5 linked regions of the Danio rerio genome follow. The protein of the gene in region 3 interacts with the protein of the main gene of each other region in a pairwise test. Links are inferred from orthologs where the notes say so. Each region holds a gene or a part of one and is shown on either strand. Other genes may lie near its edges. The genes, in order: nedd4l, stam2, arrdc3a, wwp2 and bag3.

Region 1 (5,981 bases), on a different chromosome or scaffold from region 3:
TTATTATGATTTTTGGTCAACATTACCAGACTGATATGTGCCGAACTATGTATTTTGTTCTCCCCGTCTGTGCTTTAGGGATGTGGTTTCAGAAACGGAAAATGATAATCAATTGCGGCAGATTAACCAGGAAGCCCACAGAGTTTTCCGCTCTCGACGGCACATTAGCGAAGACCTGGAAAATGAGCAGCTGGACATCAGGGACATAGACGACGTTAGTATTTCAACTCTGAAGCCAGATAACATCATCATAATTAAATAAAGCAGAATATATATATATATATATATATATATATATATATATATATATATATATATATATATATATATATATATATATATATATTTATATATATTTATATATATATATATATTTATATATATATATATATATATATATATATATATATATATATATATATATATATTTGGTCACACTTTACAGTAATGTTTCACTAGTTAATGTAATAATTTACAACTAATAATGAACAATATGTGTACAGTATTTATTGATCATAATTCAACATTTACTAATGCATTTTTAAAATCCAAATTCATGCTGTGAAATTAGTGGAGTGTGAGTAAATATAAACAACTTTTTTCATTAACTTCCATTAAATTTATTAAAATTTTCATTAATATTTGTTTGTGTTCAGTGTTTGTTTATGTTATTAAGTACAGTGAATCTAGAAAGTATTTATAGGGCTTCACTTTTTCCACATTTTTTTATGTTACAGCCTTATTCCAAAATGGATCAATTTATATCCTCATAATTCTACACAAAATACCCCATAATGACAACATGAAATGTAAATGTCAATTAAAAAAAATATATATATAAAAAAAAAAAAAACTGAAAAATCACATGTACAGAAGTATTCACAGCCTTTGTGCAATACTTTGATGATGCACCTTTGGCAGCAATTACAGCCTCAAGTCTTTTTGAATATGATCCCACAACCTTGGCACATCTGTCTTTGGGATTTTTTACCCATTCCTCTTTGCAGTACCTCTCAAGCTCTATCAGGTTGGATGAGAACCGACGGTGTACAGTCATTTTCAGATCTCTCCAGAGATGTTCAATGAGATTTAGGTCTGGGCTCTGGCTGGGCCACTTAAGGACATTTACTGAGTTGTTGTGAAGGCACTCCAATGATATTTTGGCGGTGTGCTTTGGGTCATTGTCCTGCTGGAGGATGAACCGTTGCTCCAGTCTGAAGTCAAGAGCACTCTGGAGCAGGTTTTCATTCAGGGGTGTGTCTGTACACTGCTGCATTCATCTTTCCCTCTATCCTGACTAGTTTCCCAGTTCCTGCTGCTGAATAATATTCCCACAACATAATGCTGCCACCACAATGCTTCACTGTAGGTATGGTATTAGCCTGGTGATTAGCAGTGCCTGGTTTTCTCCAAACGTCTGGCATTCACTCCAAAGAGTTCAATTTTATTCTCCTCAGACAACAGAATGTTGTTTCTTATGGTCTGAGAGTCTTTCAGATGCCTTTTGGCAAATTCTAGGCAGGGAGTGGTTTCCGTCTGGCCACTCTACCATACAGGCCTGTTTGGTGGATTGCTGCACAGATGGTCGTCCCTCTTTTAAGATTCTCCTCTTCACAGAAGACCGCTGGAGCTCAGATTGAGTGACCATCGGATTTTTAATCCCCTCCCTGACCTCCCCCAGCTTAGATGGCTGGTCAGCTCTAGGAAGAGTCGTGTGGGTTCCAAACATCTTCCACTTATGGATGATGGAGGCCACTGTGCTCATTGGAAGTTTCAAAGCAGCAGACAATTTTTTCTATAACCTTCCCCAGCCAAGTGCCTCGAGACAATCTTGTCTCGGAGGTCTACAGACAATTCCTTTGTCTTCATGCTTGGTTTGTGCTTTGACATGCACCATCAACCCTGGGACCTTATATAGACAGATGCCTTTTCAAATCATGTCCAATCAACTGAATTTACCACAGAAGAACTCCAACAAAGGTGCTGAAACATCTCAAGAATGATCAGTAGAAACAGAATGTAGCTGAGCTCAATTTAAAGCTTCACGGCAAAAACTGTGAATACTTATGTTCATGTGATTTTTTCATGTTTTTTTATTTTTAATAAATTTTCACATTGTCATTATGGGCTTTTGTGTGTAGAATTTTGAAGCAATAAATTATTTTAATCCATTTTGGAATAAGGCTGTAACATAAAAAAATGTGGAAAAAGTGAAGCACTATGTATACCTTCTGAATGCACTGTATATTATCTAACTAACAAATACAAACTAAATACAACAATTTCTTATGATACAAGCAACATTCCCTCTTTTTCAGTCATGGGAGCCCATATCAGAGGAAGATCCGACTTTATTAACAGATGGTCTGAACCATTCTCTGTCGGGACCCTCCTCTCTGGCAATGCCCCTCTCCAGCACTCCAGACTTCTCAGATGAGATCAGCCTTAGATTGTCTCTCGCTCCAGACACCAACGGAGAAATCCCGGGACCCAGCTCTGCTGTGGTAAGACAAAACCGCTTGGTTATAGGAAACATTTCAATCTGTTAAATCCTCCATTATAACGTAACATTGCTGCATATGGGTCAAACAAGGCAGGTTATAAATGTACAAACCTTCACACACCAAGAGCCCCAAATCTATTCTTCGTTTAATTTTGGAGAACGAGACCATCCTCCATGTTCAGTTGTTGCCTGTATTTATTTTAATCTACATGAGGGCTTTAAAGGTGTCTGAAAGTTTAACCTGGTGCCATGAAATCAATTTGCTGCATCTCATCCTATTGCTGTGTCTTTAATCTAATGTAATGACCCCAGGGATTGCAATCCAATGGAAAATAGTTACCCTGTTTATTTATGTAACTATTAGCTATTTTTCTTTTTTGTAGGTTATGGATAAAATATGATAACTCTAATAGTTTAATCAAATGCATTCCATTTTAGGAGTCACCAAATGACATACATTTCAATAAAACTGAAGAGATACATTTTACAACAGCAGTTAGACGTATATTTTACAGCAAATTCCCTAAATGTAATTCTTAAAACTAATTACACGATTTCTTATGATAAAACTAGGCCACTAGAAAAAAATCTTAATCTTGTATAAGTCTAAAATTTTATTCTTTATGGTCTTAAAAGGGTCTTTAAAAGTCTTAAATTTGTGGACCCAATACAAACCACAGGAGAGGGCCATTTTTTCAGCAAGATAGCACTCCGTCTCAGCCTTCACATCAAAGCTCCTGAAAGCAAAGGCAAAGCAGGTCCAGGGGCCTCATGTATGAAGACTTGCATTGAATGCATACTAAAACATTGCGTACACACAAAGCTGTATATGTGCGTACGCAGTAAAAAATCAGATTCATGAAACACTGCGTAACTGGAATCCCACACATATTCTCTTTGTACATCCGAATTAATGTGAAACTGAGCGCACGTGCACGAGTGCAAAACCCCTCCCTGCCTCCTCCCCTAATTAATATGGTAATGACTCTACTTTGGCAAAACCAAACGAAAAAGCAATGGCAAAAGCAAGCAAAAAGAGAAACTTTGAACAGAATGTGAATCGGAGGTGCTCCTTTTGGAGGTAGACCAGAGAAAAACGGTGTTATTTGCAAGTTTGTCCTCCGGAATTACGTTAATAGCAAATGAAAAAAATAGAGGTGGAGAGTTTAGCTGACGCGGTTAACACATTGGGGTCTAAGCATCGCACTGTGAGTGAATTAAAAAAGAAATGGTTGGCTGTAAAGATGTAAAAATTTGTAGTGTCTATTTAGGCTAAGTGCAATTAGCACACCTCGTTGGAATGAGCTAGTTGAGTGATTCCCGCCCATCACCGTTTGATTGACAGAGACAACAGAACTAAAGAGCGCTGCAATCAGTAGCGTGAGTAGCGTAGCTCGTAAAGGGCATGGCAACATGTTTTGACACGTTCGATCATGAACTCGGTTCGAATCCAGCGTCTGATGAACTCATTCTTCTTTTTTCCCCCATCAAATATCAGATTTTGCCTACTCTTCATCTCGAGGAAGACAAGTAGGAATCATTAATAAGTGTGAATTATGTTAAGCACATTTGAGCATCACATATTATTTGCAAATTTATTGAATGGAAATGTTTCCGATTCACGTATGCAAATTCGTCTTCAGATGGCGCCTTCATAGCAACGTGCGTGCAGTCGATCACTCTGATTAGATAGGGAAAACCGGCGATTGCTGCATGGTATGGAAACCTTATATACCTGCTAGAAATGCAGATGACACACAAGAAACGCATGTACGCCAGACATGAAGTTGGCGTGGACCAACGCACATTCTCACGTCCATTTCATCGTAAGTTAATCCAAACGTGAGCGTGAAATCGGGCGTACGAAAAGTTTTTGTGCACGCGTTGATACGTGAGGCCCCAGGTCCTTCACAATTGGCCAGCCCAGTTACCAGACGAAGGTGGAGGCATTGAAGATTAATCCAAAGAATCTTGATGAACTCTGGGAGTCCTGCAAGAACGCTTTCTTCGCCATTCCAGATGACTTTATTAATAAGTGATTTGAGTCATTACAGAGATGTGTGGATGCAGTCCTCCAAGCTCATGGGAGTCAGACACAATATTCATTCCTTTTCCAATCCAGCATGACTTTATATTCTATACTGTATATTATTTCTTTAAAGTGACAAGACTTTTGTATAAACAAACTCAGACCTTACTGTCCTAATTAAATAATTAAAAATCAAGGCATGATCATCAGCGTAATCTAAAGGCCTTTGCCTTTCATATAAGCCATGTCTGATTCCAAATGATCAACTAGAAGTCAAGTTATTATTTGTTGTTCCTAAAACTTAGATAAGTGACAAAACTTTTGCCAGGTAGTGTATCTTGATTTGGGTTAAGCAGAAACAAATTGAGCACAAATAAACACTGTCATTTTTCGTGCTTGCGTAAAGTATGCCCTTAGTTTGACACAGACATCTAATCTTGAAATATTTGTATTATTATTTTTTAACAAAGACAATCTTAAAATGTAGTAGTTATGTAGTTTTTAATCCCAAGTAAGTCCATCATAACTGCTTTTAATCAACTTGCAGCTCATAAAATCTATCGTAGCTTTATGGTCGCAGAGTTCTTTCTGTCATTTGGCTGAAAGCTTGTGTTATAAAAGCTGAAGTTATACACTCAGGCTTTTTAAGACAGCACTGGCCTTGACTCAACAACAGATGCTGACTAAGACTTTTTCTGCCCCTCAAAAGAACAATACATTAGCTGGACGTTTCTAGACTAATGAAAATGTTAGACTTATTCAGAAGATTGAGGTGGGAAATTGGCATGTTTTTATTCCTCTTCAGCGTATTGAAATGGTGGTGAGTACATTTTGTCAAATCTAAAAGCTGACTCTGAAGTGCGCGCATACACGTGCAGCTCTGAATCAGTCAGTGAGTCACTGTGGAGGCAGCGCAGGGGTTCCACACACTCAGCTGGGAAACATTTCTCACTTTATGCCTTCTTTTACAATGTTTTTAAAATTCACTGCACTGTATGAATTGTGGATTTCACATCGATTATTAGTTAACGTTCTAATTTTTATTATATGCCTAATTATTATGCTAATTATTATGTGTCCTAGCCGGGTCTAAGCTAAAATTTTGCAGTCATGACAGCTGCCACATTAAGCAAATTAAACCGTGTGCAGTATATAGATATTCACGTGTATACTGTATGATGGTTGATTTAAATGACTTGCTGGTTTACCTGTATACCATTCAAAAGCTTAGCTAAGTCAAATCAGACCGCTTTGGACACAGCTGAACTTTGCATATGAATCTTTATAAACCGCTATGAAAAAATGTCTTTTTCTGGGTTTTTTTTAGGTGTGGGTTTGAGTAAATTGTTAATATTAGTTCTACTCTGAAAAGGTCTGACAAGGTCTGAAAAGGTCTGCCCCCCCCCCTCCCCCCCCAAATAAAGTTGGCATTTTATTCCTTAGAAAATG
Region 2 (6,411 bases), on a different chromosome or scaffold from region 3:
CATTGTATAAGAATTTTTCTCTAGAACACTGACGAAAAATTAAAACTAAAAGAAGTGATTTTAACTAATTGTTTTGATACTTTCTTTAATAGAAATCCAGATGTATTGATTATTTTAAGGCAAAGTATACTCAGGAAGTATGTTTTATGCTTCACATTCAACATAAATGTGCTCAATATGTAAGATTTATCAACATTTACATTATGCTCATGTCAAAAAACCAGATAAGGGATTTAGAAACAAATCGACTGTATTGAATTGAAAAGTTGCCGAATTGGACATTATTATGCAACAGTTTCTGGTCAAAAAAAAACTAAAAAAAACTAAAAAAAAAAAAAAAGTGATTTTAATAAATAATTTGGATAATTTTATTAAAATTAATTATGTTTTTTCGATTTATTTAAGGCAAAACATACTCAGGAAGTAGGTTTTATGCTTCACATTCGCAATAAAAGTGCTCAAAATGTAAGGTTTATCAATATTTACATTATGCTCATGTCAAAGAAACATGAGTGATTTAGAAATAAATCGGCTGTATAAAATCATTATAATGCAACAGAATCTGGTCAAATAAAAACTAAAAGAAGTGATTTTAACAAATGATTTGGATAATTTTATTAATAGAAATCCATTATTTTTTTTTTTTTATTTAAGGCAAAGTATAGTCACAAAGTATATCCAATGCTTCACATTCGCCATGAATTTGCTAAATAAGCTTTACATTACATATGCTCATGTAAAAAACAACGATGAGTGATTTAGAAACGAATCGGCTGTCTCGAATCGAATCGATTAGTTCCTGAAACGGACATTATTGTGCAACAGTTTCTGGGTTACTAGGTCTAAGGTGCGCTTAATTCACTGCCTAGTCTAATGTCTACAAACTATACAAGGCTACATTCAAACTAACAAAGACACTAAATTCACTACAAGCCCTGTTACAACGCTGCCCAAACAAACCAGCGACTGTAAAACAAGAACAATGCATTCATGCAACAACAACCAATGCTCGCTGTCACCCATCACCAACCCTACGGCGAGTTAAATAAGCGATAATAGGCTTTACGTTACACCGCATTTGGATTGCACAGCAGACATGTGCAGAATAACTTTGTTGAAATGTTTCAGCTTTCAAATTAAACAGTGTTAAATAATACAATATAGACTCAATGGGGGAGGTGACCGCGATTCTGTCATACAGGCTGAAGAAATCCAACCATTCATTTCTGCTGTCACACACACACACACACACACACACGCTTGAAGAGAGAAGCACGGAAGCGCATTTGATTTCCACCATACCCTGCTGTCATAATCACGTTGTAAATGACCAGATATGCTGTGGCCAGTGTTCCGGGGCCCTTTTTCTTCTTGTGACCGGACTCACTGTGCGCTGTTTTGCTGGTCCCCATGGCAGGTGCCGACATGACTGAACTATCATTAGAAAGACTGGATCATCCAATGGTCCCGGTGGATAAAGGCGTGTGGCCTTGCTGACATGTAAAAAAGCTGCTTATGAATCCAGCGCCCTCTGGTGAGGACAGAGTGTAAACAATGCTTTGTTTTTTCAGTTACAGACTAGCGTCGTCTTTTTCGCAAGCATTTACATCAAATACAACTAAAATAATATGATTACAGTAATGTATGTGAATATATTGAGATTATTTAAAGTGAATTATGATGTTCTAGAAACATCTAAACTAGCCGCTAGATGGCAGTGCGAGTCTTGAAGTCAGAGCGCACTTCTGACTCAACCTATGCGCCTGTCTGAAATATAAACATATATATTTTTAAATATGCACAAGTATAATAATTTACTGGTTAAATTTTGAGTATTAATATAATTTGTGAACATGCTGCTTTAAATGTAGAATATGTTGACAGTTTCCTGGATGTATTTTCTGGCAGGCATTGCGCTCGTCTACTAAGTTTACGGAAGAGCAACTGGTGGAAGTGAACGCAATTTAATGGATGAGAGAAGGATAAATCGTCGATCTACGTAGATAATACGCTTCAGTTTTTTTCTTTGACACATAGGAAAAGGTTACAAAATGCCGTTGTTTGGTCAAAACCCGTTCGATCAGGATGTGGGTGAGTTTGGCAGTGTTGTTTTTGTCGAAGTGATGTGGTCTTGACAAGTCAGTAACTAAGGGCCGATCCAGCAGCGCTCCGTTCACTGCAAGATCCTCAAGAGCTCTGTTATTGTTTTGTTTATCGGTCATTCATAACTTATTTATCAAAATCTAACTATTAAAGCTGTCAAATGTAAAATAGATAACTGACAGTGTCTTTGGGATGTTGTTTTGAATTTCAAGAACTTTTTAGATGAACACTAAATGCTGAAATTATTCTTTTTTCCATCAAAATTTCTTTTATTTTGAATTATGTCAACACAATAAACATGACGTAGATGACAGCATAGCAGTGTGCATAAGAAAATACATTTAATAATCAAAATATAGGAATACAGGTTTTTGAATAATATTAATATTTGTAATAAGGGCAACAACAATAATAGTGACAATAAGAATAAAAAACTGAAGAATAAACGACAAAGACATACTAAAACAAATGATAATTATAAATATATACACACACACACACACACATATATATATGTACCGGTCAAGTGTTTGAGGTCAGTTTTTATTAAATTCTTCATTTTTTTAGTTAATATTGTATGTAGTTTCAAATGAAATTATTACTCCGTTCATTAATGCTTTTATTACTTTTTTCATTAATTATAAAAAAATAATAATCATAATAATTAATATTAGAGAGATTTCTCATGTGACTCTGAAGTAATGAAGCTGAAAAAGCATCTTTAAAATCACTGGAATTAATGAATAAATTAAATTATAAAGTACTTTTGAACAGTTATTTTATAGTGCAATACCATTTTACAATTGTACAGTTTGTCCTGTAATAAAGGCAAAAAATAAAGGCAGCCTTAGTGAGCAGGAGAAGCTTATTTTAATACACACACACACACACACACACACACACACACGTATATATATATATATATATATATATATATATATATATATATATATATATATATATATATATATATATATTATATTATAATTATTATTACTATTAGGCCAGCTCAAAGTAAATAATTAAAAGAATAGTAATAAACAAATAGATTAAGATATTCGAAAACATACTGATAGAAGTCTACGGCAATGAAGTAAAGTTAGTAAAAGCCCAAACAGGGAACCTTAAACAACTACACCAAAACCATAAGTTTTTTTGTTTTTGGATGTCTCCTTGATTCAAATTATATTGAAATTGTTTTTAAATTTATTTTATTGCTTGATTACTGACAAAAATATTTTTTAAATATATATTTTTGTGGCAGGGTCTTCAGTACGAAATATGAAAATTCTTTAATGCTCCAATAAGTCATATAAAAAAGTAATAATAATTTAATAATAATAATTTATTAATATTTAATAATTTAATAATAATAATAGTTGTAATAATACTTTCTTTATATGCTTTGATTTTATTATTCTGGATGTTTACGATAATATTATTTATTATTATTTAGTGTAAAATAATAAATTAATCTAGTTAAAAATAATATAATAAAACATAATTGTGTATTTTTAATAATAATTCATGCTGATTTTAAGATCAAAACGTTCATTTTTAATTAAAAAACGTTTTTATTTTATGTTTTATTTTATTTATTTATATTTATTTTTAATTTCTAGTAAGCTTAAGATTCAGGTATTTATTCTGTATGTTATATTAAAATATTGTTTCATATAATTTAGTATAAAATAATAACAAATAACTGTAATTAAAACAATGTAATTATAACAAATAATAATGTATTACTATGCTGATACTTATGATCAAAATGTCCTGTTTTAAAAGTTTCTGATTTAAAAAAAAAAACGTTTTATTTTATGTTTTATTTGATTTATTTATATTTTTTATTTCTTGTAAGCATGAATGGGTGGAAGATTAATAGGAGCTCAGTTGTCAAAAGGCGTGGAACCTAACAGCACACAATAGCATGATCTTTGGTTTTATTTTCAAAGCTTTGTCCTTTTAGAATTCAGTTTATATAAACGTGTGAAACTGTATGTTCCTTTATGGAGGAAATTAAGGCATATTATTATTGTTCATTTTATTTATTTATTCATGAATATGTACTTTTCTAGATGTTGCAATTCAAGACGTCGTTGTTACGAGTAAGAATTAGTCATAAAAATGTGCCCAGTTGCTTTGTTCTTAAAGGAGGGGGCAAATAATTTCTGCTGGTGGATTATGACAGAAACTGTTGTGCCTGTTGTGACAAGCTGTAAATGTAAAATAACAGGCAAAACAGGCTGTCACTGCTTAACGGTATGCATATCTTATTTTCAATAAACCTATCCTTCGAACTCAGGGATGCAAAACTGATAACTAAAACTAAAAGATTTTCTTTTTAAAATTGTGGTTTTTATTAGTTTTAGTTTTTTAGTGTTTTGTTAACAGCATTTATGGTAAATGAGAAGACATTTCCTCCTGCTGGTTTAGACGTTTGTCAAACACTTATCAGTTTTTTTGATATGGTTCTAGAATGACCTTGCGTTAAGAGTCTCATTTGAATGCTCATTTGTATTTTCAGAGAAAGCAACTAGTGAAACCAACACAGTGGAGGACTGGGGCCTCATTATGGATATCTGTGACCGTGTCGGGACAGCTCCAAATGGGTGAGCTGAAAAATCAACACGCAAACAATATATGAATAGTTTTTCTAAATTCTAATTTTATTACCAGGTAGTTACCTTAATGTCACTAGTATATAGGGATGCACCGATCCTGATATTTGGATCAGATATCGGTTCGATAAAGAGCCATTTGAGGAGAGCTGAGCTCCAGCGAGGGGGAGCATGAGCTGTCGCTCCTCCTCCTGTAAGCTGTTTTAATGCGTACACCAACCCCACCCCTAACCCTACCCCCAGTGACATCACTCGCAGAAGAAGTGCAAAAAAGGTGGAGCTCAAGCTTAAGCTCCCCCTCGCTGGAGCTCAGCTCTCCTCAAATGGCTCTGCAGCGAGCACCACTTGCATATTTTTGCTGGATTGGGTATCGGCTAGGCTTGGGCGGTATCCAAATTTTGATACCGTCAAACCGCCTCCATATTTTACCCCGGTATCCGGCGTAATAAAAAAAAATTATGACGTAAGGCTCAGACAGCGTCACCAAACTGTTGGCTTAAGCCTAAACCATTCAGAAACTGAATACATTCTATGCGACCTTAGGCTCGCGGAGAGAGAGAGAGAGAGAGAGAGAGAGAGAGAGAGAGAGAGAGAGAGAGAGAGACGCAAAGCGACGCACAGCACCTCTCTCTCTCCCTCTCTCTCTCTCTCCCTTTTACACACACACACACACACACACATCTCTCCCGCGATTTATTCAGAAATTTACTCCCGTAAGAAATCTGGCCGGCTCCCGCGGAACAGCAGTTATACCCGATAGGTCCCGAGTCCGACAGGTACATTTTGATTGACAGCTTTATACAGCCCAAACCCGTTCACAGCCTACATTAAATGTGCTCATGCACACAGCTCTAATGCATTTTTTTCAAGAATGAGTCATTTATATGTTTTAACATCATTTATTCGTAACAAGCGTAGACTATAGGCCACTTGAAAGTTGGAACAAAGAAATAAAATAAGTCCTACAGCTGTAACATCGTAACATCTCAGCACTCTATAGGTCTAGGTAGGCTACATGCACTTAGCCTTTAAATTAGCCTACACACCAATGAAAAGTAATCTTGCTTAACAAATCAAATTAAAATAAACTCTAAATGGTGACGGGTATTTTGGCAATAACGAAATTAAGATAAAGGCTCTGCAAGATGTGTTTCTCCACTTCTCTTCACAATCTGGCATTAAGGCGGCGGTGAAGCTGAATATTAAAATAATAATGCCACCATTAGTCTGTATACTCTGTCTACATTATGATTATATGGTTTAATTAATATTTATTTATAATTTAAAAACCCTTTACGCACCAAGATTAGGCTACGTGTGTTTGTGGAGGAACATTATTAAATCCACTGTCTTTAGCGCAGTCTCTCACTCATGGTGCGTCCAGCAGAACTGAACACCCTTTCCTGCGGCTACAGGTCGAGATGCAGAGTTCTGATCCGGCTGATTTTGCAAGTTTTTGGTAGGATTGTTTGTTTATCTTCTACCAGTCAGGAACATGCATTTAATTTTCCATGACAGCAGTTTTACTTTAGCGAATGGCCTCTTCTTTTTACCTGTCAGCTTGCGGTTTAGGGCTCTACCGTAATACGCAGTGTATGAGCGACCGCGAAATACCTGCGGCTGGAATAACCGCTCCTTCTGAGCTAGTGACTGACTTGACCGCCGTCAAAATTCTCTTTTTTTACTA
Region 3 (6,425 bases):
TAAATACAACATTTTTAAAAAAGCACAAGGCTTACCATAAGTGAATACTCCACTCTTATGATACTGCAGTCCAGGATGGAGGGCGATACAGGAGGAATCTTCAGCATCTTTCCATTCCATGTCTCTGTCTTGCCAGAAGAAAGCGACTCTCCTCGGATGTTGGCCACCAATTGCTTGATTTCCTTCATCTTCCCTTTGGCAAAGAAGGTCTGTGTTTGGTAAATGGCGGCCTTTGGCACAACCATACGCGAGGAACAGTTTTCAATTTCAGCAAAGATCTGAATGGACTCTCCTGTGAGAAGACAAAATGTATTGTTATAGGTACCATAAATTATAAAGACTGTAATAAATCTGTAATATCCAACAAGCACTAAATGGCAATAAAATTAAAAACACAAATGTATATATATATTCAACTATGCCTTTTGGTCATTTTATACAACATAAAAATCAGAATAACAAAACTGTAACTTCAATTAATAGATTTTACAAACATTTCAATCTGTTAAATCGAAGAAAATATAAACAATTACCAAAATAAGTTTTTAGAAACCCTAGTATGATGCAAAATATTGAAAATGTAAACTATTAGGAGGCTTACCTGGAGTATAACCCTTTCGTTCAATTTTGGCACTTAGGGAAATTGGACCTGAGGTGCAAAACCAGCAGCATAAAGTCTTTTCTTTAGTTCCTGCCTGCGGAGACTGTGAAAGTAGAATAACAACACTTTAGAATACAAAATAATGGTTATTCTCCAATGCTGAGTAAAGGGATGTAAATGATGCAAACGCTCACCAGCAGAAGAGGAGTGTTGATGTCTATGTGTTCAAAGACAGTGAACTCTTTCTTTGTCTTCATGGGCAGAAGCCACGGCCTGTGCAACTCAGCCTTTACCCAGTAGCGCACACTGCCATGCTTCCCTTCGAATGAGGTAGCCAGAGGTCTGCATGTGCACGACACAAAGAAACATTTCATTAAGCATTACGACATACAGAACGGGTGAACAAATGTTAGGTCTGGTGCCACATCCACTCACGTTTGTGGAAGCTCAAAGCTGAATGCATACTCATGCCTTCCTGAATGAATAGTGGTGAGTCCCTCCTCGGAGTTATCATCATCTGAAACAGAAAAGAATAATATTCCAAATATACCTTACCTGCCAAAGCATTGATCATCTTCTTGTTTATTACACGATTGAATTTATTCAAAGAGCATACTTGTAAATCAAGAACATGTATAAACCAAGTTGTTTGATTCTCATAAACCCTCAACACCCATGAATTATGAACATGTATAATCATTGTGTCACATGTGTTTATTCTAAAAGGGAGATAAAAATACTCATAAGCGCTACGGCAGTTCATAAGAAGGTGAATGTGAAATAAAATAACCATTTAAAATCGAATATTTGTTTGTGTAACACTGAAAAACACCGGTGGCTTTCGTTTCGCCAGCTCAGCACTGTATTCAGCTTAGCAGAGGCACGGTAAACAAGTAGGGAGCTGTCAATCAAGGGCAGACTCGAGCAAGAGAAGACCGGCCTAAACCGGAGCCCGCTGCTTCACTGTGCCGGCGCGCTCATTACGTATTCAGTGTGCGGTAACGCGCGCGCGCGCACAGGACCAGCAGGGACAAGCCTCCCATTGAATGCACGCGTGTGCTGCGGCGTGGAGTATTTTTCTCCCATTCAGCAAAAACACGTGAGAAAAATATGACAGATTGAAAAAAAAAAATCTCACACCAGCAATCACAAACGACAGAAAAACGATCAGTTTCCAAAACAAATTCACCTTTATTGTAACCCAAACATTCATACAGAAGCAGTAAGTCACAATTAGACATTGTTTCGACATTATTAGACATTACTTCGATTCGAAATATACAGGAAGTTAATTTCTTTGAAATTACAGTAAGCATGCAACTAACAAAATCATAACATGCACTATCTGATTTGTATACAGAGTTTCAACAGGCAAACATTACAATGTTTCTCCATCTCAAGCTAAATATTATGGAAAACATGTACAATTTGTATTTACTAAAACCACGTTTGGCCCACTTGTTATTTCGTAATGTGAGTTGAAGTCCTGTTCGGTGCCAGCAGTACAATGTGGAACAAAGCGGTGGTTGCAAGTTGTGTGGCAACAAACGACAACTAAACTGTCTGGTGATTAATATCCATAAAGCATGTACAGATGCAAAAACTGGAATGCGAAGAGTCTCTTTGAGTTGTTGTCGTTTTTGCACGTTTGGAGTGACTCAAGGTGCCAGATCAAACATATAGAAACTAAGAATCAGTTATTATAACCAGGCCGTGAGTTCTATAAATGCCAATAAAACTTCCGACCTAATGAATATGCAAATAAGTATTTACAGACATACAACGTGAAGATATCGGACGTTCGTTTTAGATTTTATAATTGCACCGGCCAACTCCATGAATGAACAGTAATGCAGATATGTTGTCGGCCTTTTTCTGATGAACGTTTGACTGCATTTCAATTCAGCCCCATAATAAGTGTACGCTTGCTTACTACAGCTACTGGTGCAAAGTTGCTGCTGTTTTCCCCACTTTCCGCAAAAGCATGATGTCATAGAAGACACGTTGACGCCTCCACCAATCAGAGAAGAGAACGACTAGACACTGCATCAAAACAGGATTGAACCGCTTCTAACAATGGGTGGAAACTTAAGACATTAAACCGAATTATGTACCATTACGCCTTTGTACTGCATTTATTTTATAACATTGTTCTCCCAGAATCAACATACAGCGGTAGAGCACAGAATGCGAATATCGTTTTAATAAAACTGTAGTACAAGACGAGCAAACTGACCATTCATTCAAGCAGCTGACACCTGAGAGAATACTGATATGTTGTTTAGAGTACAAAAGAGATGCTGAACATCACGCATTTGGTAGATCTAAACGGAAAATGATCTTTGCCAGATGGTTCTTGTGAACGAATGCGTATGTCATATATTGGGTGTTTTTAATTTGACAAACAACTCAATCAAGTCCCGCAAATTAATGCATAATTACAGTGTGAAAAGAACTGAAATGTCTGCACACAATAGTGTCTACAGGTTCACCAGTCAACAAGTACTGTGCAGCATCCAAAGAAGCCTATGTCATGTCATTCTGGACCACTGAGCATCCCACCAGAACATTCATATCTGCTCTTTTTCTGAACAAATCTACATGTTTGATCGGCATGCTTACCTCTTTCATGGCCAATTAGGATGTCTCTATGATTGAGATATTCCACTTCTTCTGTGTAATTTTGAGTGTAGGCAGTGCTGGATCCAGCATTTCGTGATTCTGTCCAACGAACTTTCGCAAATCCTTTTGCGTTTATTTTAAGAGACTTCACGCGAATCTCTCCGGTGACTTCGATAATAACTCTTCCTGAGACGGAGTCCCCACTCGAGAAAACAGGGACATTGCTGTCATTAAGACAGTCGTAGCTTACAATGAAGCTTTTTACCTTTCCTAGCACCATGGTGGCAAGAAAAGATAATGTACAAAGTTCTTTAGACAAAACAAGAAAAAAAAGTCACACGGAAAAGTCTATGAAAATAATCTCTTATGAAAAAAGCAAGAGTTAACACTGGATAGTGTCATTGAGATGCGAGAGCTGAATAACAGCAAAGGATGCTGTTATCACGTCTCGGCGAAGGCTTGATGGTCTGCAATGAAAGACGGGGAGATTCTCCCCACCGGCTCACTTTAAGCGCTGCTCTTGTGAAAAACAAGTTAGTGCGCATGCGCGAAGCTGCAATCCGTCCCCCTTCTTCCGCTTTTTGTGCAGTTCTTTGACCGGGGACTCAGGACAAATAACAAGCGAACAGCTGAGCAGTGTATTAAAAGAATACGTGGAAGTCTAGACGTTATTCACAAGTTTTAGCTTTGCATTATTATTTTAACTTTTTGTATAAAGTGCCATGTGTTTGTTACATTTGTTACATGTATCAAAACTGAGCTCCGGTTACTCAATGGGGGAATAATACACAATGAACATTAAATACAAACCTTTGGCAATTTATTGCTATGATGACTCCAGTAATATATTTATCCATTGTTCCAATTTTTTTTCTTTATATAACTACTTATTGCACTTAAACGTAGCCTACTTGACCAAACAATTTATATATTTGACTCGATGTTAAATAAATACATAAACAAATAGAATAACTAAATAAAAATAATGCTAATGTAATTTGAACTGATTATTTATTTTATGAGAATGTATGTAAGATTATGAATACACTACATCAACTAACTTAATATTCTGCTCATTTTACAGATTTTTTCAGACTCTAAATGTCATGCTTAAAATAATATTTTATAACTTTCTGTAAGTATATGCATTTGTATGTTACAGTATGTACTTCCCTTTCAGTTTATACAGACGCAGATTCTGCATCTGCTGTGTACAGTACATGCTGGTACAGGTTGTACAAACCGATGCGCCACTCAGCGGCTACAGAAACTCCTGCGCCTGCTCGTTTTCTTTAGTAGCGTTTGTGTGTGAACGAGTTAAGGTGGATTGTGCTGCCCTCTGGAGTTTCAATAGTGGGACGTAATTCGAAAATTATTTCCACTCAGAAGTAATAGGTTTGTATGAAATAATTAACTCTTTGTGATATAATGCCAGATTACAGCGCACATATTACAAAGCATATGGTTTCTTGTGATGTTTGTGTAGATGCCCTCCACTAATATCTAATATAGTTAAATGTGAGCAAAAACGGCTCTAGAAAAAGTGTTCATTTTTTAAACGTTTATGTTTTGCCTATATAATAAATATCAAAACGTATCAATATCAAAAAAGAAAAAGAAAAACAGGTCAGCTATCAAATAAATCACTTGCTGTTAATATATTTATTATCTACTTCGATAATTAACAAAACACTTACATAAAATATAAGGGAACGTGCATATAATTGAAAAAGGATAGTATGCAGGTATTTTTAATGAAAAAAATATTTAGTAAAAAAAAAAGAATAAAAACGCTACAGTTTGACACAGAAAGGAGCATCTATCTATCTATCTATCTATCTATCTATCTATCTATCTATCTATCTATCTATCTATCTATCTATCTGTCTATCTGTCTATCTGTCTGTCTGTCTGTCTGTCTGTCTGTCTGTCTGTCTGTCTGTCTGTCTGTCTGTCTTTCTGTCTACTTTAAAACTATTAGAAAGCTATATTGAATGGTCAGGAGAGAGGAGTAAACTAGGGCTGGTCTGATTTGTCAGAAGGTCTATTGACATTCAGGAACTTTCTTTTGTGTGCAATCATTTCGGGGATGGTAATGTTTGCTTGAATTTGCATTTACCCAAAGCGAAATAGAAATGAAACCAGTCTTTTGTCGTTACACAGAGGTCTTTTGCCATATTCAGTTGGCAATCAAGTTAAATCATTTCTTTTAGATTTTACCTCAAGCAAAGCTCTCGCATCATTTAAAGATATTATGACTAATTTTAAGAAACCTGCGTTTATTGTATCTCTGTGGATGAGCATTTTCAACAATGTAATCATGACAGCTTCTTTATTTGTTCAGATGCTTTTGTGTTGGCCACTACCTCTGTGACTCCCATCCTAAAAAGTGTGCCGCATACATATGTTTAGCCAGAGGTCTGTTGCCATTACTTGGTGGGATATCTAGGCTGAGACTAACAGTAATATCTAAACCCCACTGTTACCAATTGCTGTAGATTATGCAGTAAATAACTTTAAAAGTGTTTTGCTGTAATAAAACAAGACAGTATTTTACTGTAAAACAAGATTTTGTATGAAATTTTGTAATGCAAAGAATAAATTACAAAGTTACTTTATGTACACATTACAGGTAGTAACTGTGACCTTGAATGGTAAATTACTGTTCAACAATTACTGTCCAATCTACTCTGATACTTTATGTTGCCATTTATAGAGAAGAGCATTTTTTTTAACGATGAAAACGATGACATTAAGGCAATAAAATACATACACAGGCTGCCTGTCTTATTCTTAACACAAAGGTGTTGCCCTTTTAAACCCGGGTTTATGATTTGTTAACTTTTGAGTGTGCTCTATCTCTGTCAATCACTTCAGATGCAGAGTCTGATATGTTTTAAGGCTTAAATAAGAATCTACAATTAATAATTAAAATATGTTCAAATATTTTAAGGTTTCTAAAATAAGTCTGTGTATCAAGTCAAATTGTTGTTGTCTTGAACAGTGTACTTAAAAGCTACCCAGACTGCACACTTACATTGCGTCGTGCTAATTTTCTAAATTCCTTCAGCGCAATGTCGCTCAGGGAGCGTTTGCTAATTGCAATATGTCGTAATTGGCAAACTTGTGTAAGTGCATTTTACAATGCCTATCATTTTAAATAGTTAAAATATTCACGTGTTCTGTTAAAAACAAATGTTAT
Region 4 (5,981 bases), on a different chromosome or scaffold from region 3:
CCTTAATTTCTTTCGTTCTCTTTCTTTCTTTGCTGTAATACATTGGGTTCAACAATTCCTTGGGTTCAATCTTGTCTCAATGCAAATTGATCAAATTAACTTAATGTTTTTTTTAAATTTTAAGTTTAACAAAAACAAGTTGACTCTAAAAACTCAATAATTGTGTTTGAGCTCATTTTAAACAAGTGGTTTAACCAAGCAGCTAAAATACTTTGTGTACCCTGACATCACCATATTTCAAGGTTTTTAAACCAAAATCATTTTAAATCGGTTAAAAAAAAAATTTAAAGGTTTAAAGGTAATCCATTTGAAATGGTCTTAAGTCATAACTAAAACAATTATTAAAATATAAGGCAGCTTTGTACAGGAACAACATTTTAAAATAAGCACTATTTTAAACTTTCAAACACACTTTTGTTTTAATCATAACTCCACCACACTTTTTGGACTGTAAAGTAAACGGTGTCTTTTTCTCCTCCAGTAAGAAAGTAAGAGAACGACTTCCTCTCCACCCCGAGCGAGTGTGTGAACAGATTGAGTTTGTGGTTGTCAATAAACCCTGTGACCTGCAGGAGAAAATCTGAACACACACACACACACAGGAGAAAAGCTCTCTGTGAGGCTCAAACCCGCTCTGTCCAGCACAGCCTCATCAATGTGCGCTTGTTCATGCGTTTGTTCTGTGTGTTCTAGCAGTGTTCCCTATGAAGTGTGCATGTGTGTGTGCCAGTGAAGGGGACTCACTGTCTGAGGCGGCGCTGCCATTGGGCAAAGATCCCAGATCAACAACCAGGCCGTCCAGACAGACGTTGAGCTCACCGCCTGCTACAACCGAGCCTTTGTTCTCCGTCTGCAGAACCAGACTGAGCTGAACGTTCTCCACTGAGAGAGAGAGAGAGAGAGAGAGAGAGAGAGAGAGAGAGAGAGAGAGAGAGAGAGAGAGAGAGAGAGAGAGAGAGAGAGAGAGAGAAGAGAGGGGGGGTATTATGTGAATTAGGCGATGAAACTAATTGTTTAGCACTAGCAGAACAATACATTGATGCCTGTCATTAAAAAAAAAAAAAGGTAGACCAATAAAAACATTAGTGATGTGCTTATAAACACATGCATGCACACACACTCGCTTGAACATGTATGCACACGCACGCATACATGAACATGTATGCACATGCGCACACATGCAAATGCATGTACGCACACACGTAAATGCTCATACGCTTGTGCTCACTCAAACATCAATGCGCACACACACACTAACATGCACAAACGCATACGCTCACACATGCACGCCCATGCATAAACATGTACAAACATGCACGTATGCATGCGTGCACAAACACACACTTGCGCAAATGCACACCCAAACATGCACGAACACGCACACACACGAATGTACATGCATGAAGACATGCACACGCACGAACAAGCACTTGCACACACGAACGCAATGAACAAGTGCACAAACACTCCAATGCACGCACATGAATGCACACACGCACTCATGCACGCTCGTGCATACACACACTGAATCCTAATTTGCAATAAAGGAAAGCTTAAATCTTGACTGTTAAATATACTGTTGTTTCGTTTTTGTTTTTAGTCTCTGATTTGTCATTTGTTTTCACAGGTTCTATTTTAATGTTAACATCACAGGTGCTTTAGCAACAAAAACATTTTTCATAGCAAAACTCAATTTGCTGAACATTATAAAAGATTAAAGATTTTTTATTTGTGGACCCATTTGATGAAGCTTTTCATGATTTCAAATATGATCAAACTTTAAATACATTTCAGTAGGAACACGTCAGAGAAAAGTATGAGCTTTCATCAGAACAGAAATAAGTGTACAGCTGGAATATCATTTCCTGGATATTTTGACATTTAAAAAAAATCACATAACCCATTTGAAACCTTAAAAAAAAAAGCCACGCATTAATTCAAAGTGCTTTCTATATCAGGCTTTCTGCAGGTTTCACAAAGACTTTAAGACCTTTTAAGACTTGCAGAACAAAACTTTAACATTTTTCTTTGTAATGGGCAGTGGATAATTTACATGCCCTATTAAAAAAATTGAAATTTAAGCCACATTTTAAATAGTGTCAAAACATAGTTTTATATATAAAATGTATAATAAATATATATGTTTTAGTTTCAAAAACTATTTAAAAAAAAAAAAAAAAAAAAGGACATTTTGAAGCTGAGAGAAAATTCCAAAATAATGCTTTATTTTAATCAGAGCATTGTTGAAATATTCGTAGAACTTATTATAGTGCTTTATTCTCAGTATTTCAAATCACTATTCTTACTGTAAATCTCTCAAAATATTAAATATGTGTTACTACTTGTTTCAAAAAACTAAACGACCAAAAAAAGTAATACTTTTTGGAATTTATTGGGAATGTTTGCTCTTGGATGTGTGTGTGTGTGTGTGTGTGTGTGTGGTTTTTTTTTTTTTTATTACCATAAGTTTTAAAAAGTATAAACTAAAATTTATTCACAACAAACATAAATGCATAAATACAGGGAGAACTTTGAAACAAATGTTATTGTAAGGATGATAAGTCGCTGTCGCCACTGGCTTGCATGGTTCAGGATCTGAAAAGCTACTCAATGAATTTACCCTTCAGTGTATGGACTCAGTAATGATTTCAAACCACACTGAACTGAGCTAACCTGAACTTAAAACTGAACTTAAACACTAAAAACTGAACTACCCTGATCCAGTTACTATGACCATTTATGTGAAGCTGCTTTGACACAATCTACATTGTAAAAGCAATATACAAATAAAGCTGAATTGAACTGAACAATACTAACAATATTACTTTTGTTAACAGTGTTTTTATAGATGGATTGTTGGTTTTATAGCTATAAAAGTTTGCAAACATTAAAGTGGTGATTTCTTTTCTTTGACCAAAACACACCAAACAAAACAAATAAAATAAATAAGCCAATAAACAGAAAAAGCCCAAACTAAGGAAATAAGGCTGACAGTCTTAAAAACGCCATCACGCAGCATTTCTCTGCTTTTCTGCAAGCACAAAACTGACTCAGAAACATCTTTACCCACTTTACCCCCAAAAAAACTCTGGGCCTAACCGCGCGGAGTGATCTGCTAAACCCTTCCGGATCATATCAGAACACTCCAGTATTAATTACACACCAAACCTGCACAACAGACCGTTATTCCCAGAACTTAAAACAAATCAATCTATTTAATAAAGAGCATCAGGGTCAGTGTTCTCAGATATTAGTGAAGTTGCTCCTCACGCACCTCGAGAGGCCTTTAAATCAAGTGGGGAAAAAAAAAAAAAAAAAAAAAAGGTTCACTCATTACATTGGCTGCACTTACACTGCAGATCTTGATGGTCAATACGATTGTGACTGTATGTGATTTTTTTTTCATTTCTGCTCACATCATCTTTTAGAAGTGACTCCTGAACGGTTCTCTGCATTTACACTGCGCAAAAAAAAAAATAATTAAAAAAAATTCGGACGCTGACTGACAGCTGATAATGAAAAAGCGCTCTTTTCTCTATTCTTTTATTTAATCTGTTTGCAGAGTTTCATTTATTTATTATTATTTTTGACAAGTTGCTTTCCAATAGTTTGACAGAAAAGATTTGGCCATCTTCTTTTAATCTAGGCCTTTTTAAACGAGTAGGCATCTTAATGTCATGTCCATGGCGTAATATGTGCACGTGATGCATGCAATAGTTTTATCAGTTTACATTGGTTATGTGGTGGATAGTGCTCTCGCTCTCATATCCGATCTGTGCCACATGCAGAAAAAAAAAAATCTGAATTAAGTCACTTAAACCCTGCAGCGTAAACTCTGCCATAATCTGTCATTATTTCTCTAAAACAGTGGTCACCAAACTTGTTCCTGGAGGGCCGGTGTCCTGCAGATTTTTGCTCCAACCCTAATCAAACACACCTGAACGAGCTAATCAAGCTCTTACTTGGTATACTTGAAACACCCAGGCAGGTGTGTTGAGGCAAGTTGGAGCAAAACCCTGCAGGGACACCGGCCCTCCAGGACCAGGATTGGTGACCCCTGCTCTAAACCAACAAACAGATCTCTGCATCTGTGCTTGTCTGTGAGAGTTAGTGTGCAAGCGTGTGTCAGTGCATGTGAGAGTGAGTATCCGTGTGTGTTTGTGTGGGTTTAAACTCACTCTTGCCATCATGTGTTCGTAGAGTGTCCAACAAGTCGATGGTGGCGCTGCCCAGAAGCTCCTTCCTCAAAGTGTGACAACTCCACACCTTCAGATCCAGACGACTCTGAGGAGTCACGTTCCTGCACCACACACACACACACACACACACACACACACACACACACACACACACACACACACACACACACACACACACACACACACACGTTAGGAAAAAAATATATATACACACACACACACGTAAGTTACGTATAAGGACTAAGTTGGTCAATTAAGACGAGGATGCGCTAGTAACCTGAGCAAGTTAAATGGTAAAGGGAGAGTTTTTATAATATAGTTGAAGTCAGTACTATTCACCCCCTTCAAATTTTTCTCTTCTTTTTTAAAATATTTTCCTGAATGTTGTTTAACAGAGCAAGGAAATTTTCACAGTATGTCTAATAATATTTTTTCTTCTGGAGAAAGTCTTATGTTTTATTTCGGCTAGAATAAATCCAGTTTTAATTTTTTTTAAACACCATTTTAGGAACAAAATTAGCCCTTTTAAGCTAATTTTTTTCGTGATAGTCTACAGAACAAACCATCGTTATACAATAATTTTCCAAATTACCCAAACTCGCCTAGTTACCCTAATTAACCTAGTTAAGCCTTTAAATGTCACTTTAAGCTGTATAGAAGTGTCTTGAAAAATATCTAGTCAAATATTAATTACTCTCATCATGGCAAAGATAAAATAAATCCATTATTAGAAATGAGTTATTAAAATGATCATCATGATGATGAATTAATCAGTTTTCATGGCACTTCTTAAATATTATATTCTTCAATGAAAAGTGACGCGTGAAGGCTTACAGTGTGAGGTCTTCATTCCACTGCAGCTCGAGGTGTCCGCTGCGTTTGCCCGTTTTCTTGGTCTCGCTGCTCAGGCCGTCGGCGGTCACTTCCACAAATGAACTCAGGCGAGAGTGACGATTGGGCAGTTTAGGAGACTGAGGCTTCGCAGACAACACTAGCAGATGAGGAGAAGACGATGAACACTTCAATCAAAACAACTTCAGTGAGAAAGAGAACATTGAGGGAACACGAAGTTTTAAGACTTAAATATAACATATACTCCAGGGATTTTGAATGCTTGATTCTCATTGGCTAATGAGCATTCTGAGGTGTGCGGTTATTTTCAAATAAACACACAGCTAAAGTGCTTCCGGCAGGTTTTGGGTGCAATACAGTTAGTGTTGGAAATCAACAAAACAATCATAAACATTAATTAAAAAGGGCAGCACAGTGGCTCAGTGGTTAGCACTGGGGCCTCACAGCAAGAAGGTCGCTGGTTCGAGACCCAGCTGGGTCAGTTGGCATTAGTTTCCTTCGGGTGCTCCTGTTTCCCCCATACACATCCGCAATAGGGGAACTGAATGAACCGAATTGGCCTTAGTGTACGAGTGTGTGTGAATGAGTGTATGGGTGTTTCCCAATACTGGGTTGCAGCTGGAAGGGCATCCACTGCGTAAAACATATGCTGAAACTGGGGGTTCATTTTGTGGCGACCTCTGAAATAGACATTTTAATAATCTGCAACCTAATTACGGCTCTGTATCACTACGCTGAATGATAGCAGCCATTTCATCTCACAGCTACGATGGTCAAAAATCACATCAAAACACAACAGAAGGCTTTGGATGAGATCTGGTACGGATTTGGAAGAGCGTAAAGAACTAAAAGGAGCAGTTTAAGGACAAAAACCTGACACAGTCTGGTTAAACAGGTCTCGATGCACATGTGAATGTAGTCCGCTCATTA
Region 5 (5,562 bases), on a different chromosome or scaffold from region 3:
GCTGGGTTGGCTTTTTTGGGGATAATTATTGTGTTATTTACTTAGTGTTATATACTGATTAAAACAGAGAAATACAAGGAAATCTGTAGACTGATGGCATTTCATGCTGTTCAGCCTTAGAAAAATTTAAATGTGAGCAAAATCACCTGTTTTGTCATCACTTTAGATATTACACTAGAGAATCATTTAAATACAAGCTCTAAAATGACATGTGAATGAGCAAGGGTTTCTGCTTTTCTGACATCAGCTGCAGATGTGAATGAATGGCGGAAGAAAGTAGTTCCTCACACAAAAGAGCCTGCGGCCTTGTGCCAATGCACACCTCCCACCAGTGCTACTCGTGTTTTTATATAATCATAAACTGCAAAAACAATACAAGAACATTACAATATTAATTTTAAATAAATATTTTCTATTTTAATATATCTTAAAATGCAATTATTATTCCTGTGAAGGCAAAGCTGGATTTTCAACAGCTGTAGAAATTTGTAGTAAATTTATATGTTGTAAAAACTTTCTAATGTTTGTTTGTGACATTTATATAAATACAAGTGTTGTTAAGGTAAATTTTGACCAATTTAATGCAGACCCAAACTCTGTTTTTATTTACCAAAGGGATATCAACCACAAGGGACCCACCAACAAATCAGTGGCCTTCACCAGCAGCCCAGATCCAGCAATACAGGTCTCCGGGCAGGATACATCCCCATTCCGGTGATCCATGAGGGTGCCGGGGGGGTCTTGCCATCCCAGCTTAGCCAAAGTTCTCATCCCACTCGAGAAAAAATCTACCGTGAACAAGTGCCCATTCAGATTCAACAGAACCGTGCTGCCAGTCCCATCCAAGTCCCCTTAAGAGCCCAGTCGCCAGTCATGGCTCAGATCATGGGAGAGAGGCCTCAGGTATGTGTGTTATTTATCAAGAGGATATTTTACTGAAAGATGAAAAAAAAAAAACATAATCTAAAGAAAAGTGTAGCCATTGACATTGATAGAAGGAAAATTTTCATTTTAATGGCTACAGGTTTCTTCAAAATATCTCCTTTTGTGTTCAACAACAGAAAAAACCTTAAGCATGTTTGAACTAATGGAGGATGCATAAATAATGACATAATTTTCATTTTTGAATGAATTTTCTGTTCAAAAGTGCACTTAGCAATTTTTGAGAAATGCTTATGACACCAGTGTCTGACCGATACCCAAAACACACTTGCAGCCAATCTTCAGTAAGGGGTTTGTCTAGTAACACTAGTGGAGAATTCAAAAAGGGCATGCCATGACAATTTGTAACCTTTTGATTTAGTGGCTAATTTGTATGAATTTGTATGATCTCATTTGTTAGATTTATTATGGTTTGCTCATCCCCCAATGACGGTTGGGTTTAAGGGTGGGGTTGGATGCTATGCCTTCTTTTTAAAATCTTACGTTTACGTTTGACTGAACTCGTACAAATTTGTGCGAATTAGCCACTAAACTGACAAATAGTAAAATAGTTACATTTCCTTTTTTGATCAGGCTGGTTTGTTTTGGCGTATTATTTTTCAACATAGGCTCATTCTGAAAATGTAGCCCTATGTACGTTTCTGGAGATCGCGAATTATGTAGCCAGAGCTATATATGGCTGCATTTTATCTTTAAAACAAACGCTACTGACTACCTCCAAGTGGACAGCTTTCATGCTGTTGCTAGTTTGTCCGGTTAGCTCACCATGTACGCCAGCAGACTTGAGACGAAAAGAGGAGTTGACCACGATGAAAATAAACATGTAAACAATATGGTAAGAATGTGTAAAAAGTATGGTAAAATCTGAAAACGCAGTAAAAAATCTGGCGAGGTCTTTTCTTTTTCTTGATTGCTTTTTAAAATTGTTGATTGGGTTTAGGGATGTGGATGGGCAGGTCAGTGGGTGCTTTTAAAAATATTATTGGTTGGGTTTATGGAAAGAGGAGGGTGGGTCAGCTGATCGGTTAGTCACTCAGTCAATCAGACAGTCAAATAGTCAGTCAACAGCGGCCTCTGGTGGATTTACATAAAAACAACAGGAGCGAATTGCACTCACGAGGGAAATTTGAAATCTCAAAAAGTGCACACAGTGGCCTCTAGTGAATTCGCGAAAACAAAAACTGCAAAACATACGTAGCTCCTGGGATGTATTTGGCGGTCTCCAGGAATGTATATCGAGGTACATTTTCAGAATTAGCCTGGGTTGTTATTTTTGGTACTTTCAAATAATATTGTTTGGCATAAATTGCTTCTTGCACCTCTAATGTTCATTTATGTCATATTTATTGTTATTATTAATCAAGTAATCATAAATAAGTAAATAAAAGAGGTACATATAAATGAAACTAAAGAGAATATGTTTTCATTTCTAGATGCAGCAACATATTGGACACACAGCCATACCTTCAAAAATTGAACATCCAGTTGAAGAAATCATCAGAGTACCTACATTTGAGGTTCCCATTCAAAGAGTGAGTGAAGTTCCCCAGCAGATACATCATCAGCCAGTACAACAACAACAACAACCTACACAGCAGCCTCAGCCAAAAGCACAACCCTCCCCGCAGGTATCAGAAACATCCAATATTACCATACAAGTTCCTCCAGCACCAGAGCCCCAGGAAACAGCTGCTCCTCAAACGCCTCAAGAAGTCTCGTCCCCGCAACTCCAGCCTGAAGAGACTCTGGAACAAGATCTGAGCCACCCAGGACTGGTCAAAGTGCAGCAGATAGTGGAACGTGTGGAGAAGCTGGCACAGAATGTCAAGGGCTTCGATGGGAAGAAGAATGATAAAAGATACTTGGTACTGGAGGAGATGTTGACTAAAGAACTGCTAGCTCTGGACTCTGTAGATCCAGAAGGTCGTCCAGATGTGCGTCAGGCTCGGAGGGACGGCGTCCGCAGAGTTCAGAATATTCTAGACGAACTGGAGATGATCGGAGAGATGCAGGCTGGAAATGAGGCAAAAGGAGAGCAGAGTATGATTGACCAGTTGAACACAGAGAGAGTCAAGGAGTTTTCATAACTGCTCAAAGAAGGCACACATTTGAGAACACTAATATAATCCCCATTCTTCTTTTTACTTGTGCAATTATTATTAGTTGCATGCACAAATAATTGAATTTTTCTGTTGGAAATGATCTAACGTAAATTGTTTACTGAGTGCTGTTATGTGATGCTGCTGTTGTCAAATCTCACCATGCCAATGTCTTGTAGCAAAAGACATAATGGTGATCAGTTTTATTTAAGAAACATACCTGAAAATGAGGCCTTGAACCAGAAGAAAGTATTTTAACGGCCAAAAAGTATCTTTTGTACCATGTGGAATGAATGAAGAGTATTCCTTAAGAAAACATGTTGTTTTTGAAGTCGTGAGCCATCAGCGTGAAACGTTTTAATTCGATTTTTAGCATTACGTGGATTAAAATGAAGAAATCTACATGTTTTAATTAAGACTTTTGGTTTTGGACTATGGGATTATTTTGTTTCATACTTGTATAAACAATTAATGCCTTAGAATATAAACATTTTAACATCTTTAACATCAAAGAATAGGTCATTGTTGAGAGCAAGCTTTGCTGACGGAATTCCTTGTGATGGTTTGAACGCCTGTCAGTATTGTTATTTGTTGAATGAAAGGATACAAATAATGCTATATTTTTATTCTATTTTTCTGTGCCAAAAAGAACATTTCAACTAGTATGAATGTTCTGCTTAAAAATAGAGAATTTCAAAAAAAATAAGTATGATAAAATACTGATTGAATATACTGTATGGTCGCCTTTATGATTAAGGCTTTGTTTTTTAAGGCAGTCAGGGTCAGTGCAAAGTTGTGGACTCCTGTTTTGTCAACATTGTGACCTTGAGCAAGATAACTTAATCATAACTTGCTCTGAGGGAAACCAAAAGTGTACCAAAAATGACTTTGTATAATCTATTAGCTCAATTTAATTCAAAGCAGAGTGCTATATGTCTCACATAAAGCTTGTGAGGCTTTCTTTTTTTATCTCAATGACCTGTTACTGACTCAGATATCGTACTAATACTGCGAACAAAACTGGTTTCAAAGTCTGTTTTGTGAAATAGTATGCAATGTTCAGTGTTCACAGCTTGATTATTTGCAGTTTGTTCAAATGTCGACACGATATGGTCACATAAGCATGACTGCAAATAAAAAAAATTCAATTAAATAAAGCACTTTGCTAAAATGATGTTTCCAGGATTTTCATTTACAACCAAAGCTTCAAAGTTTTTAATAAGTATTTATTAGTGTAAAGTACTTGAAGAATTATAGTGTGGGATTATAGTATTATGCTGAATTTATTTAGTCTGAACTTTGATATAAAAAATGCATCAAGATAAAATTAATTGGGACTATGTTTTGAGAGAGAATAGTGGCTTGGTGCGCTGCAGAGAATACGTTCTAGTACAATTAGGGCTCGCCCTAGCCTGATACAATTTAAAGTATTTCATAGAATCCATTTCTCAAGAACCAGGCTATCTGAAAATTTTCCCAATATTGACGACAGATGTGACAGATGTCATGCACCAAAGTGTAATGTTCTTTATGTGCTCTCTGTTACAAAATTATTGGATTAATTGTTTTACAATTATGTCCCAGGCGTTGCTGGTAAATATAAACCCATCCTCTGATGTTGCCATTTTTGAGGTTCCAAAGATTTGGTCCCAGTTTAATTCTAAACAACTTGAAATTTTGGCCTTTACCTCACTATTCTACTACACTGGAAACCAAATAAGCCAAATGAGCCTCCAACTACATCCCAGTGGCTTGTAGATACCATGCATTTTCTAAAGTTGGAAAAGATTAGATGCTCTGGGTAAACTAATTTCTTTAAAAAGTGGCAATGTTTTAAAACTTATTTTAACTCTCCTAAGCTCTTGCCTTCCAATTTATAGATGCACTATCCTTCTTTATTAGTCGATTTATTTTATAGTAATAAATGCTTTTTTTTTAAACTATTATTACTTTATACTGTTTAGTTGTAAATATTTACTCTCAACATTGATAGTTGGTTGTAATTTTCTGTACACTTATTACTCTGGTTTCCGTTTTTCTTTTCCATTTTTATTATTATCATCATTATTTTTTCTTTTTTTAATATATTTTCTTTTCTTTTGAAAAAAAAGCAACAACAAAGATGTTTGTACTGATATATTGTTTGTTTTTTTCCACAAAAAATAAAAAATAAATAAATAAAAATTTGACCATAAAGTACATCAAGAATAATGAAGAATAATATAGTAAAATTCCTGGCCATTTTTAGCTCCAACTATTTTCTAATGAAGGCAGACACTGGTTGCAGTTTTTGAGTGGATACTCATTTTAAATGTAATTACTTAAATTTAACTATAAAGTATGTTTTATTCATTAATTAATTTTCTTTTCAGCTTAGTCCCTTTATTAATCTGGGGTCACCACAGCGCCACCACAACTTATCCAGGATATGTGTTACGCAGCGGATGCTCTTCCAGCTGCAACTCATCACTGAGAAACATCCATACACACTAAGGACAATTTAGCTTACCCATAACCTGCT

The links.
Region 1: the proteins of arrdc3a (region 3) and nedd4l interact in binary tests that used the Homo sapiens proteins (3 or more experiments, as listed by UniProt). The link is inferred for Danio rerio from reciprocal best matches to the Homo sapiens genes ARRDC3 and NEDD4L.
Region 2: the proteins of arrdc3a (region 3) and stam2 interact in binary tests that used the Homo sapiens proteins (3 or more experiments, as listed by UniProt). The two-hybrid records come from large-scale screens. The link is inferred for Danio rerio from reciprocal best matches to the Homo sapiens genes ARRDC3 and STAM2.
Region 4: the proteins of arrdc3a (region 3) and wwp2 interact in binary tests that used the Homo sapiens proteins (3 or more experiments, as listed by UniProt). The link is inferred for Danio rerio from reciprocal best matches to the Homo sapiens genes ARRDC3 and WWP2.
Region 5: the proteins of arrdc3a (region 3) and bag3 interact in binary tests that used the Homo sapiens proteins (3 or more experiments, as listed by UniProt). The two-hybrid records come from large-scale screens. The link is inferred for Danio rerio from reciprocal best matches to the Homo sapiens genes ARRDC3 and BAG3.

What each region holds. Positions count from the first base shown.
Region 1 is NC_133196.1:12,310,189-12,316,169, reverse strand, and holds part of nedd4l (E3 ubiquitin-protein ligase NEDD4-like), read left to right. Parts: intron 1-78; coding exon 79-214; intron 215-2,318; coding exon 2,319-2,504; intron 2,505-5,981. UniProt on the Homo sapiens protein: E3 ubiquitin-protein ligase that mediates the polyubiquitination of lysine and cysteine residues on target proteins and is thereby implicated in the regulation of various signaling pathways including autophagy, innate immunity or DNA repair.
Region 2 is NC_133184.1:39,754,176-39,760,586, forward strand, and holds the start of stam2 (signal transducing adapter molecule 2), read left to right. Parts: upstream 1-1,926; 5' UTR 1,927-2,051; coding exon 2,052-2,091; intron 2,092-4,630; coding exon 4,631-4,715; intron 4,716-6,411. Other genes in the region: hacd2 (very-long-chain (3R)-3-hydroxyacyl-CoA dehydratase 2), read right to left, coding at 1,303-1,427.
Region 3 is NC_133180.1:53,058,209-53,064,633, forward strand, and holds the start of arrdc3a (arrestin domain-containing protein 3a), read right to left. Parts: upstream 3,686-6,425; 5' UTR 3,504-3,685; coding exon 3,224-3,503; intron 1,119-3,223; coding exon 1,037-1,118; intron 944-1,036; coding exon 796-943; intron 705-795; coding exon 602-704; intron 293-601; coding exon 36-292; intron 1-35. UniProt on the Homo sapiens protein: Adapter protein that plays a role in regulating cell-surface expression of adrenergic receptors and probably also other G protein-coupled receptors.
Region 4 is NC_133200.1:37,283,234-37,289,214, reverse strand, and holds part of wwp2 (NEDD4-like E3 ubiquitin-protein ligase WWP2), read right to left. Parts: intron 5,191-5,981; coding exon 5,034-5,190; intron 4,301-5,033; coding exon 4,179-4,300; intron 883-4,178; coding exon 745-882; intron 1-744. UniProt on the Homo sapiens protein: E3 ubiquitin-protein ligase which accepts ubiquitin from an E2 ubiquitin-conjugating enzyme in the form of a thioester and then directly transfers the ubiquitin to targeted substrates.
Region 5 is NC_133188.1:28,712,847-28,718,408, forward strand, and holds the end of bag3 (BAG family molecular chaperone regulator 3), read left to right. Parts: intron 1-615; coding exon 616-903; intron 904-2,375; coding exon 2,376-3,029; 3' UTR 3,030-4,212; downstream 4,213-5,562. UniProt on the Homo sapiens protein: Co-chaperone and adapter protein that connects different classes of molecular chaperones including heat shock proteins 70 (HSP70s), e.g. HSPA1A/HSP70 or HSPA8/HSC70, and small heat shock proteins (sHSPs), e.g. HSPB8.